Linked DNA regions of Drosophila melanogaster. The protein of the gene in region 2 interacts with the protein of the main gene of each other region in a pairwise test. Each region holds a gene or a part of one and is shown on either strand. Other genes may lie near its edges.

Evidence for each region. Proteins that work in one complex are often made in the same cells at the same time.
Region 1: the proteins of s-cup (region 2) and MCPH1 interact in a two-hybrid assay, tested with the Drosophila melanogaster proteins (one large-scale study listed by BioGRID).

The regions. Positions count from the first base shown.
Region 1 is NT_033778.4:11,900,919-11,905,676, reverse strand, and holds the start of MCPH1 (microcephalin), read left to right. Parts: upstream 1-1,758; 5' UTR 1,759-1,903; coding exon 1,904-2,096; intron 2,097-2,138; exon of another isoform or gene 2,139-2,213; coding exon of another isoform or gene 2,214-2,265; coding exon 2,266-2,512; intron 2,513-2,836; coding exon 2,837-3,058; intron 3,059-3,126; coding exon 3,127-3,319; intron 3,320-4,282; exon of another isoform or gene 4,283-4,689; coding exon of another isoform or gene 4,690-4,758. Other genes in the region: reb (rebuf), read left to right, coding at 1-282, 399-771, 833-837; Zip48C (Zinc/iron regulated transporter-related protein 48C), read right to left, coding at 4,690-4,758.
Region 2 is NT_033778.4:12,494,076-12,501,694, forward strand, and holds s-cup (stanley-cup), read left to right. Parts: upstream 1-1,596; 5' UTR 1,597-1,762; coding exon 1,763-2,124; intron 2,125-4,202; coding exon 4,203-4,353; intron 4,354-5,879; coding exon 5,880-6,977; 3' UTR 6,978-7,384; downstream 7,385-7,619.

The DNA.
Region 1 (4,758 bases), 590 kb from region 2:
TCTCCGGTCTGGATACTCGTGGTCAACGTGGTGGCCATGGACATGCTGAGGAGCCGCCTCCAAACGATTCCCAAGTCACTGGATGCGATGGGCATGCGAGTGCCGCTGACGAACAGCAGCGAGGATCCATACTCCACCATCGAAAGCCAAGTGGGATTGATCTATCCTACGCCCGCCGCGTCGGATGATTCCCAGAACTCCCAGCACTCGAGCAACTCCAGCAAGGGACGGCGCAGCATCTTTAGTGCCGCCTTCCTCAACGAGGGTCCATATGTGCCCAAGGTGGGTTCTAACCTAGATTACATTCTACCTGAAAAATTTGGGACTTCAAACCTTTTAACCTGTTTGGGAAAAAAAACTTAGCCTAATAATTCTTATTTGCTTTTTACACTTTGCAGCCCGACTACGAATCTGGCGGATCTTTGACGCCCATATATGCGGACAAGAAGCGACAGAAGAGCAGCGGGTCGCAGCAGCGGAAGAAGCAGGATGATCCGTACTACTGCGGACTCTTGGCGCGTATTCCCAACTTCATCAAGTCCTCGAAGCAGCCGTGCCCTGGAGGAGCCAGCAAGCCCAAGAAGGAGCCAAAGATCTCGCGGAAGATCTCGGCACAGCACCAGCAACAGCAGTTCCTGCAGCCGGCGCAACCCATTCCCATTGCCACATTCCACCACTCGTACTTCCCCTACAAACTGTATCCACCGCAGCACCGTCTCTCCCAGTCGCAAATGTCCCTCTGGGATGCACGTAGTCTGATCAGCGCACATGGTAAGTGACCACTTAATTTGTTAAGTGTATCTCAGTTAATCAGAACATTTCGCCATTTCAGAATGATCACTTTGGCTGGCCCTAATTTATTCATCGTCTAGCGTTAATTCTAAAATTATTTAGTCAAAGCCTACGATTAAGTTTGGTCAGTGAAGGATCATCGATTCACTGGATCACTGTGGAGTGCATTTCGCTCAGTTTTGTGATAAATGCAGCGAAATGCAGCCATTTAGCGTACGTCACTTAATACGCACTAACTCTAATTAACCGCAGTTAACTTTAAGTCAAGCAGAGAGATTTAATGATTATGCAATTTGTAATGAGTAATTAAAATTTTGCCATAGTTTCTTAAATCGTTTAAGACTGAGAGAATGTCCTAGAGCCCACGATAAGCGCACGGAGAGTTTGGCTGAGATTCAGGATGGGGGCAGATAATGTCATATGCAAATTAATTGCTACTTTAGGCAAGTTCAATTTATTATTTTCTTATTATTTTTCTGTACATACACTTCATATGTAAATAAGATCAAATTAAAAACATGTAATCGATATTAGTACGCATTAAAAAAGAGTTATGAAAGTCAATATAAGTGTTTTACTTTAAACGGGTTACAATCTACGCTGCTGAAACTGAATAATAAAGGTATTTTGTATAATTGTGTGTAGTTTGATTTTCATTTACGAGAACATTTAAACATATCTATATCTATATATATTTTCCGACATTTTTGCATTTACTAATTGTGTTTAAATATCGGAACTTAAAATTTATTAAACTGCTTTGCCTCTTTCTAAGATAAACATTGGTGGTGAAAAGTAAACCTGCGCTATCACAAGATTTTTTGTCTCCTAAATTAAATACATAATAAAATGCCGCCAAATTCGTCATCGAACTAAAATCTTAATGTACTAAACGGAGACCATATAAAAACAATCGATTTTCGGTGAGAACGATAACCGATTGCCAGTGAGTGATCTTGTAGCATTGAGGTTACCCGGTCACACTATCACATTGTGTTGCACTTTTTGTGAGGTTTGGATTAGAAAATTATTGGCGCCTCTTTTGCAGAGTTTTGCGACCGACTTCATTGCAATAAGGAGCGCCAGAGTGCGGAGAACATAGCCCGTGACCATGGACAAGTTTCTGTTGCGCAATCCCACGTGGAAGACGAAGACGTACGGATCGGTCGTGGCCAGTTCCGCCGCAGCTGCCAAGAAAACAGCGGCGTCATCGACCCGCCGACCGTTGCACGATTCAAATCTGGGCGACTTCAGGTCCAAAGCAGCGGCACCGTCTCCCAAATCTCTATCCCAGGCCCCGGCAGGTTGGCTGTGCATGCCTATTTTACATTTTGAACACCCAACCCAGTAGTTTTAGTTCCGGATACGTAGCTCACCCAAAATTCGTAGTATTCAAAAAAAAAAAAAAAAAACAGATTACCATGTCGACAAACGAACCGAGCATTACTAACAAGTTGCGTTCCCTCCTGCTAGATGACCAGGCGGCCAGGGATCGGCTGATGCTCAAGCCGGCATTAGCCGTCTCCAAAGCGATCAGCCAGCACCGCTCCGAGTTCCACCAGGACGAGAACGAGGCGGGAGCAGAAGGATCTGCAGCAAAACCAGATCCACCCATCGGAGCAGCCACGCCAACCAGGCAGGAAGGACACTGGGCCCGACTGCAGCAAGATCTCAACAGCCCCAACGCTGCACTCCGATTACGCGCCATTCGTGCATTAAAGTAAGGACAAAAATTGGTTATTGCAATTGTTATTTATACAACCTAAAGGTCAACTAGTGAAAACAGCTCAGATTCTTGACTAATCCATCCTTTTATAGCCATTTTATCGCTAATTTTGTAAAGTTAGATTCTTTAGATGCAATCCCTAATAATTCCATATCCATCAATAACTATTATATTAACAAGCCAGGTTTTTTTGCCAAAACCAAGTATTGATTATTATTATTATTAATTATTGTTTTGCAATGCAATCTAATCTGATTTGAGAAGAAACTGATCATAATAAAAAAAATGCATTCGCTTTTACATTGTATACATTTTTAGAAGCCCCACCAAGTCGGCATACAATACCTTCGATGTGCCTTTAGCCGAACAAAGCATCATCACGATGGAAGAACGCAATCCCCAGGAGCCGCCCTCCCTCCCCGAGTTGCTCAAGGACATAGTCGTATATGTGGAGGTGCGAACTGGAAACGACAATCGCTCTGAGGGCGTAAAATCAATTATTGCCAAGATGGGAGCCCAGGTCAAAGATCGCCTAACGCGGTAAGCTAAGGGATTACAATTGATTGACTAAAATATATTCAATTAAACATTTTTCGTTTGGCTTGTAGAACCACCACACACGTTGTCTTCAAGGATGGCCTGCTCTCCACCTATAAAAAGGCCACCGAGTGGAATATACCAGTCGTTTCCATTCTGTGGATTGAAGCTTGCAAGGTGCAGCTGAAAATATGCGATCCCAAGCAATTTCCAATCAGCAATATACGCATGTACGAGTATCCCGAGCTCTTTGGCAAAATGCCGGTAAGTTATTACTAATTGTGGCTTCTGTTGCATCATCGATCTTATTTATATATTCAAATGGGGATAAATGGGGCTTAAGAAGATAACTTTTAATTGTCACCATTCGGCTTTATAATTTAGCTTGCCTTCTCATAATACTAAGCTCACTGCAAAATACCCAATAACACATTGCAAAAATAGGCTTGTATGTACGTAGATATTAAAAGTTGACTTATCAAGGTCTTCATACAACTTTTAATATTCTTATCATATCATTATTTGTTAGGCCTAACAACTTCCCAAAAGCTTTATCAGATCTAAGACGACAATGTACTTTCGAGTTCATCAACTCTGCATTACATTTTGGTTGGAAATGGCAGCTTTAACTTACACTTCGATTACAAAAGAAATAGGTCTTTAATTAGTCTAATCGTTGACACTATCAATTTATGGCATTGCGGACACAGAAGCATTAACTCCACTTGAGATATGCCCCCAACTAATAGGCCATTCATACCGAGTTTATGGTTTTATGGCGCACATAAAGAACTATATGGAAATTGTACAACAGATAGCCGGCAAGAGGTCTTATCGACCACTTTTCCTGATGACCACGATCACAGTGGGTGGACTGTGGCCCAAAGCACTTGTGCGAGTACAAACATACATATCTGAAATGATTAGTTAATCCAGAAAATGGCGAACAGAAACGCAGGACCGCGGGCCGTCTGAAACTGCACGTATCTCAAACACGGAATACGCGCAATATTGGGAACTCTTCGTGTCGGACAGATTCTTATCACTTATCACTGGCTGACAGCGAGTCAACCAGCTGTTGTTGTTGTTGGCACTCCGGGTTATCTAAGTGAATTTACTTGCCCTTATCAGCTATCGTACGGCCAAAGAAACGGTCAGGAAGTTGTCCGGACGGAGACAGCTACATTTGTGAGGGAAAAAAGCGAGTGGGTGCAACTGAGAGATGTTCATTTGAATTCGTTTAGTTTATTACTTAGACATTAGACGGTTAAAAAAGACACAAGCTACTGGACGCCGGTGACAACTTAAAACCTAATTCACATGCACGTTTGTTTACAAATTTTCCTAGAACAGTTCATTTACATAACTCGCTGGGAATGCTGTACAGATACGTGTGCACAGATACACAATTGCACGGATGTCGTCGCGGCATCGCTGGTTGTCAAGCTTCTTTCTACAAAACTTACACTCTACGCTAGATTATTAGATTCTCGTTTAGGGCTGGTTCTGAGATTTGTACACAGCATGCTTCTATTTACAAGACAGCAGAGTTTTGCGTTAAGTACAGTGGAATCTTTGAGTTTAGCACTAGATTATGAAATCTGCGAGGCGGGCGAAGGCGAGCCGTTCGTTCCTCACGACAGCGCCACCTCCAGACACATCATGATCAGGAAGCCGGATACAGTGCCCCACGTGGCGATCGT
Region 2 (7,619 bases):
TATGCAAATGTTATACATTTCATAGGCATTTATGCGGAAATTGGTTCAACATTTAGCAACAATATTGTGGCGGATTTTTGGCGAGCTGTTTGCATATGGTGAGATGTCTAATATATGGGGCACATCAAGAACGATTGTGGTTGCATTGTGTTTTCAACGATATATTATGCTAAGTGGCATTCATGCGTTCACCTTTATCTTTAAGATTCTACTAAACGTAGAATTTTTACATTTAATGATACACACTTCTTAACCCATATCTTAACATTTCTCAACCAATTCGTTTCTTAAAAGTGCATATAAATGCAACAGTTGAATTCCCTTCGGCAACATAAGTGGCTTGCATTTTTTTTTTTTTGCTGCATCACGCATACGCAGCGTGTGCCGCGAAGCAGCATGTTGCATGCTCAATATGCGCGGCATGGACTGTTGCTTCTGAGTCGCATTATTATTTATGGCCGCATGCCGTGAAAAATGTCAGTTGGCGACAAGTGTTGTTCAAATGGCATGCACGGTTGCCACAACAACAGCAGCAGCAGCAGCAGCAATAATGACAAACCATACGGGCATACAAAAGCATTTGGCGCTCAATTTGACGTGAAACGTGTGGAAACCGAAGGAGAACTTGGGTACGGGGAAACTCAATACAAATAGCTCTGCCTGTCCTTTGTCGTCGACATATCCTTTTGCCACCCACCAGTGCCGGCGGACCGAACACCCCAAACCCGAAAAACCGGAGAGGGAAAGCCACAGAAAAATGGGCAACGCAACGTGGAACAGGCGAGCAGCAGCGAGCAGAAGTAACCACAGACATCAGCAGCTAAACAGCCGAAGTGCTGAGTCCAAGCCGAAGGCTGGCCCGTTCGGTTGCCAAGGCAACTTCGTCGGGTTCACAACAAAAGGATAAGCCAAGCCAAAGTCCTCGGGACAGGACGACCAGCCAGCCAGCCAGTAAACTAGTCAGCAAGTCAAGCCGGAGCTCAGTTGCAGCAGCGCAACGCATTTGCCCAGACGCACAACTCGCGGTTCGCGGCCAAAACTAAGAGTTACGGAAATAGACTTGCCTTGGCCATCGATCGTTCTACCAGTTACACTCAGAAAAAAAAAAGGCTATAATGGCTTAAAGTTTTAAATGCATTGAGTTATGCAAACAATGTGGCTATGAAAAAGTGTTAATTCCTTAGAAAGGAAAAAATCGTATCGAATTCCAAACCTCTTTGCAAGTTCATGATTATAGTGCATTAAAATAATATATATATGTACATAATACTACATAAATAATAACATATGATAGATAAAGGTGACGCAAATTTAATTTCAACTGTGAAAACTATTAAAAGAAAATAAATAAACTTTAAGAAGATATTAATGAAATATATCCTCAAACTTACTTAATCCATAAATTTGTATGAAATTCGAAAATAAATATTTAAACATATGACAAGTCAAGGAAACTTTTATAAAAAAGTATTAAACTTGTGTTTCGTTTAGTGTTTGTGTTAGTTTTAGTCCAAAGTTTTATGTTTGACTCGGTGCTGCTGTCGTGCTGAAGTCGCCGTAGCCTTCGGCTCGTCGATTTGCGAGGGCTAGCTCCTGGCAGTCGCCTTTCGTCCTTGCTGCGGTCTAGAGCCGAGGTATTCGCTGTTAGCCAGGCTAGATGCGCCTCCTTCGGGGCTGAAGTGTGCGTGCTAATGGCCATGTAATGAGTGCGCCGCGCTAATCGTTATGCAATCGCCGTGGCTCGATTTCCACTCGCAGTGAAATGTCTCTCAAACGTTATGCAACTCTGCTGGCCTTTGGTCAAAATCAGAATCAGAATCACACAATCCCGGCCACAACAATATCGCTGGTTTCCACAACGGAACCACCATTGCCGCCATCATCATCTTCGTCAGCGTTTGGAAGTTTCGTCAGCGAGGAACAGCTGCAGTCCCAGGAGCATGTCTCATCCTCCTCCTCGATTGTCACACACACCACCTACTACACCGGCGGATTGGGGCAATATCACCAGCAGCGCAGTGGCTCCGGATCCGTCATCTCGGGCGTCGGTGGCGGCGGAGGACCTAGTGGACCCCAGACATATGCAAATGTTGTCAACGGCAATGTGAATCTGCTGCTCGGCGGGTAAGTCTGTCCTGCCAGTTGGAACATACGACTGATGCGAAGTTCAAGCGATAAGTTAAGTCACCTTTTGGCCCGTGGGAAATGCGAAAGAGTGTCTGGAAGTTTTGGCAAATAGCTGAGCATTCCCCTCAGTCATTTGGCAATTAATTAATTAGAGTTGCCAAGAAAGTTCGCCCAAAACAATTGGCTTCGCAGCTAACGAGAGCGGAATTGTTCAAGTATTTACATTTTAAAGAAGCTCTCTTCAGTATTTTTAAAGGATACCGCAATCATTTCATATAGATAATTCATACGAAATGTGGCTGTCATTCCAGCTAATAGTTTACTGCCACAAGTTAGTTTGCCATTCAATAATCAGAGCTAACCACTAAGTTTTCGTTCGACAACAAGGAGCATCTTGAAAATTCCAGTGAAATGTTTGCAGCAAGTACCCCTTTGGTAAGAACACTCAAGAAGCATATTACAAGATACTACCATAGATCATAATGCCTGGCACCACTTGATTTATGGGAAGGAGCTGCGAATTAATAAGCATCAACAGCAAGAGAAGATGTCAGGCTTCCGCTCTTCTGCGCTGAAAATCATAATTATAATTGTGCCGGGGCATTTTTTTACTTTCGGTTTTGCTTCGTCGAAACCCTAGCATCCTAGCACTGGCTTTGCTTGTTAATAAAATGTAAAAAAAAAAAAAAACTTTCATGTGCAACACGAGCTATTCTATTTTTTCGGAGTAACCGCAGAGCAACAAAGAGGTTTTGTAAACACGCTTTTATGGGGTTTTCTTAGTGTCTGCAAACATCACGCGCGACCCACACAAGCCAAAAAAAAAATTTATTTTAACTACTTTTTTATCGATTGTCTTGGGCAGTTCATTGAAAATAGCTAAAATAAAAAACCGGAGTGGGGGAAATCGCTGTTGTCTGTTTTCGTCGCTGCGGAATGGGAAGGCCGGAAAAGCTGAGCCCCCCAAAAAAAAGGGCCCTAATGAACTGTTGACATGCGAGAAATTGCGTGAACCGGGAAAAATGAACAGCCAAAAAAAAAAAACAAAAAAAACGAGCGAGAGAAAAATCGGAGGACGTACGTGGGCCAGTGGAAGACAGTGAACAGACAAGTGGGACACAATGTTGCATTCTAAAGTGGATTAAGTGACGTCATGGAAATGCCTGGAGCTACGAAATCGACACGACACGAAACCATTTCCGACCAAATAAACCAGTGGGTTTCAATAAACCGACATAAATTGGCCGACAGCGCTAAAAGGAAAATTTGATAACTGGCAATCCAGTTGATAGTGGTGGGGTCATTTCGGATTTATTGACGAATTAAGGAACAGATAGAGCTACACCTTTCCGAATTCACTGATACCAGCTATGGGGAATTTGTTGACCAAATTTCAAGGCATATTGTGTTTGTTTAATAAACAAAAGCACTTGACATAATCTGACTATTCTAAGCCACCTAACGACAGACAATTAAAATTTGATAAATCCATAATATTAGCTCTTTAGACAAAAGGCGAAATGTGGAATATTATTAGGCTAACACACACATTCTCCAAGCCGATTTGAAATGTGTGTGTGTGTGTGTGTGTGTTTGTGGCAGCTTAGTTAAATCGAGATAATTGGCAATATGCTCTACATTTCATACTTGCGAGCATTGAAATTGCCCTTTGTTTGGCTGCAAGATGAGTTGGGAGTCGAATTAAAAGCCAAAACTGCATTATCTAATTAAAACCGAGAAGGCAAGAAGAGTAATTTCCGCTACCATGATGTATAAATGTCAATATTTCGTGGCAAATTTATGCTATCAAAATGCTGGCAAAGCCAACCCAATATAAATAAACATACAAGCACTAGCAATTTGTATGGCAAAATTAATAAATACCGAATGCGTATTAATACGTTATTATCGCACTGGTCATTTATCGAAGGCCCGCAATCAATTTCGTGTCACCAGCCAAAGCAAATAAATATGTTTGAATGTTGGCCTGATGTCTGTTTCGTCGTTGGAATAACATTATAACATTCAATGAATAGCATTGCATTCACATCCCCGTTCGATTTAATTTGTTGCAGAGCAATGCTTTCCCTGGTGACGACTATATTGTGTGTGGTCTGCTATTGTTGCCATCGCAACATCAAAAAGCGAACGGAGGCCGCCTACAGGCAGCAGCAGCATCAGTGGCTCGAGGGCGATCCCAACATGGAAATATACAGCGTGGAGCAGGTGAGTTGGAGGAGCTAATACGAGTATATGCTCAAAGCCTATGCATAGATGGTCCATGATGCCCGGGGTTCTGGCAGAGAGCTTTGTTGTCCACCCAGCCATAGTTGCAAACGGATGTCAACGGCATTCCAAGTGGATGATAGTTGGGCCACAATGGAAGTGGACGACGGACATCATTGCTTATTCGGGGGAAACCAGAATTTTATTAATCATATCCAGTAATGGCAGTATGTGCTATTTACTTCTCTTTGGTGGTTCAAATAAGTAGCACACATTCCAAACGTGTGTGAAAAATGGGAGAGTAAGTCTGGCTCTTAAATAAATAAAGTTATACAAGTCCTAGGCTTACATTAACCAGATTCAAAGCATGCTAAATACCTAAATGAATGGCAATTTATCAGTGATTGGCTTGTCAATTTGCTTTTGTCAATACGAATACAATTTCAAAGCGATCAAATGCTAAAAATCAATTAGCGACTATTAAGTTTAAGTGCTGGCTGAAAAGAGTGCAAATATATACATATATGATATTAAGCAAACTACACAACAAACTTTCCAAGCAAACAATTTAGTTTTTTCGATTTCAGCTTTCAGCTTCAATCAAATCAGCCCAGTTTTCCAATTGGTGGCCGAAATCACAATAATAATAATAATAATATCCACCATTCTGATGTTTTAGGCATTTGGGCGCTAGAACAACACACAATCCGGCCATAATTGTCCCTTTTCAAGTGTAAGCCAACATTTCGTGGCGACAGTTTGAAAGTAAGTCGAAAACTGAAAGTGCGGGAGAGGATGGAGCAGCAGGAGTGTAATGGATATTTATGCGCCGCATTTAACAGGTGCCACATCCGGGGGAAAGTGGGTTCAGTTGACCAAAAGGGCGCGACAATTGCGGCTGGCCATACAGCCAGCCAAGCCAGTGCAAGTGGCCCAGAAGTCGCACTCACTTGGCCGTGCTCTTTATTAGGTTACGAGCCGCCTTCCCATTCGGCCCACAATCCACCGACCAACCCGCAAACCAACCAAACAACCATCCAACCACCCACCAGCCCCACCATAGGCCATCATTCAGTTCATTGTTGTTTGTTGGCCCGCTGGGAAAGGGGGGTGGGGGGAAAGTGGCGGCAAAAGGCTCCACGTAAATCAACGTTAGTCTGGCCAGGCACAGATGTCAACTGCGGACAGAAGAAGGCGGGTTTCTAGCACGGGAGCATGGGAGTGGCAATAGGAATGAGAATGGGATTGCAGATTGCGCGGCAGAGACAAATAAATTTATGATGTGTGCAATTTAAACTTTTTATTTGATCGCGTAAATTTCACTTGTCCACCGCGTCTCCATTAAGAAAGTAATTTACAGAGCGACCAAGCGGAGATCGGCAATTAGTCACGACCTTGAGAGTTATATACCAGCTCCACATCAGGGAAAAATTACATTGCTTTTAGAAAATCAAACCTTACAATCTTTGCAAATTCCTCTTTTATCCTCCTGCTAATCGATTTTAATTGTTCGTTTAATCCCTCAGTGCTACGAGACTTCTGGCCTGTTCCTAGGCGACTCCACTGATGGTCTGTCCGCCGTGCCCGCCTTGCACCACGAACCACCGCCCTCGTACGATGCAGTGGTGCTGCACGAACAGCAGCTCCACCAGCAGCAGCTGGAGCAACAGCAGCAACAGCAATTACAGCTGCAACTGCAGCAACAGCAACAGCTGCTGATGCAACGCGTCTCGCCGCCGCCAGGATACCGATCCTCGTTGGACATCAGCGGCCAGCCGGCAACGAGCTTCGGTCGCGGCACACCAGATGGCAGTGTGGATGCGGTGGCCAGTGGCAGTGTGCAGTGCGCACCAGGAGGTTCCAATGGCCTGCTGGTCAACAAGCAGTTGCAACTGGCCCTAAATGCCCAATCCTGCTGCTCGCTGCAGCGGGCCGAGGTGGAAAGCATGTGGAATGCTGCTGCGGCGGCGGTGGCTGCCCGGAACGGAAATTGCCTGGAAATGGAGACGCTGCAGGTACGTAAGCCGGCACAGAATGTCAGATTGAACACCTTCGGACGGCGGTACCTGCAGCAAAGCCATCAGCATAGTGCAAACCACTACCGGCGTGGCTGTCCGCTGTGCGGCAAGTTCCGCTATGAAGGTGAGGTCGATGATGAACCACTGACCGCTCTGTCCGTGGAGAGCGGTCTGAACATGGGCGGGCGCAGGGAGGAGGATGAGCCGTCTATCTGCCCCTGCCCCAGCGACATCGACAATGGCAATGGCAACCACATTTCTGGTGACGATCTGCAGGATGAGGCCAACGGCAATTTTCTGGCCGCCACTCTCGATGAGCAACCTCAAAATGATGCCGTGCTCTTTTCCATAACTGCTGCCAACGATGAAAACGACAACGCAGCAACATCGGACACACCATCAACTTCCGACGCACCAGCAACATCCCACGGGCAATCGGGGGAGGATGAGCTGGCCACAGGCCAGCAGAAGGAGCAAGAGGAGCAGAACTTGGACAACATCAACGAGAATGGAATCATCAGCCTGGACATGAGCAAAATCATCGATAGATCGGGGCTGCCCACATACGAGGGTGCCATCAAACTGGAGTCCAGTGGTTATGTGTGAGCCTAACAAGCAGTTCACATTAGTTGTATGGCTGCAAACCGAAACCTAAACCACAATCGTGCTTTAACTATGATTAAGATAGGTTGAGATTGGTGAATTCATGTGTTATTACTGCAGAATAAGAAACTAGTTTAGTTTTCAGTTATTTCATTGAATCTCAACCACCTAAAAAGATGGCTAGAATCTTTCTTTGATATGCTATGAAAAGCACACTTACTTTAGGTGTTTTTGAGTTAAAAAGGTTGACAAAAATATCACGCTCTCAGTACAGAGAAAATAACATTTTAAGCAAAACGGATAACAATAATTTTAACGTTTAAATGTTTTAGAGCTAAGCCAGTGCATATCCCTGTAAATGTTCGTGTCAAGTACTCGTATCAATAAAATCAAAAATTGTAATTGAACGCAACAAGCGGTTTAATAAGCAACCTCAATCCGCAACCTTCGCCTTATTCCACGCGAACAGTTTTTAGTTTAGAATGCTCGGCTGGGCGCAATCCGATTGATTTTGCATTAAAAACGGAGGCGGGAAACGCAGGCGGGATGATAAAAAACGAAAGCAGAGCAAGAAATGGCATGCAAACAAATCGCCAAAGCCAACGTCTAACAAGCGGCAAGAAAACAGCAACACCACCCAACCGC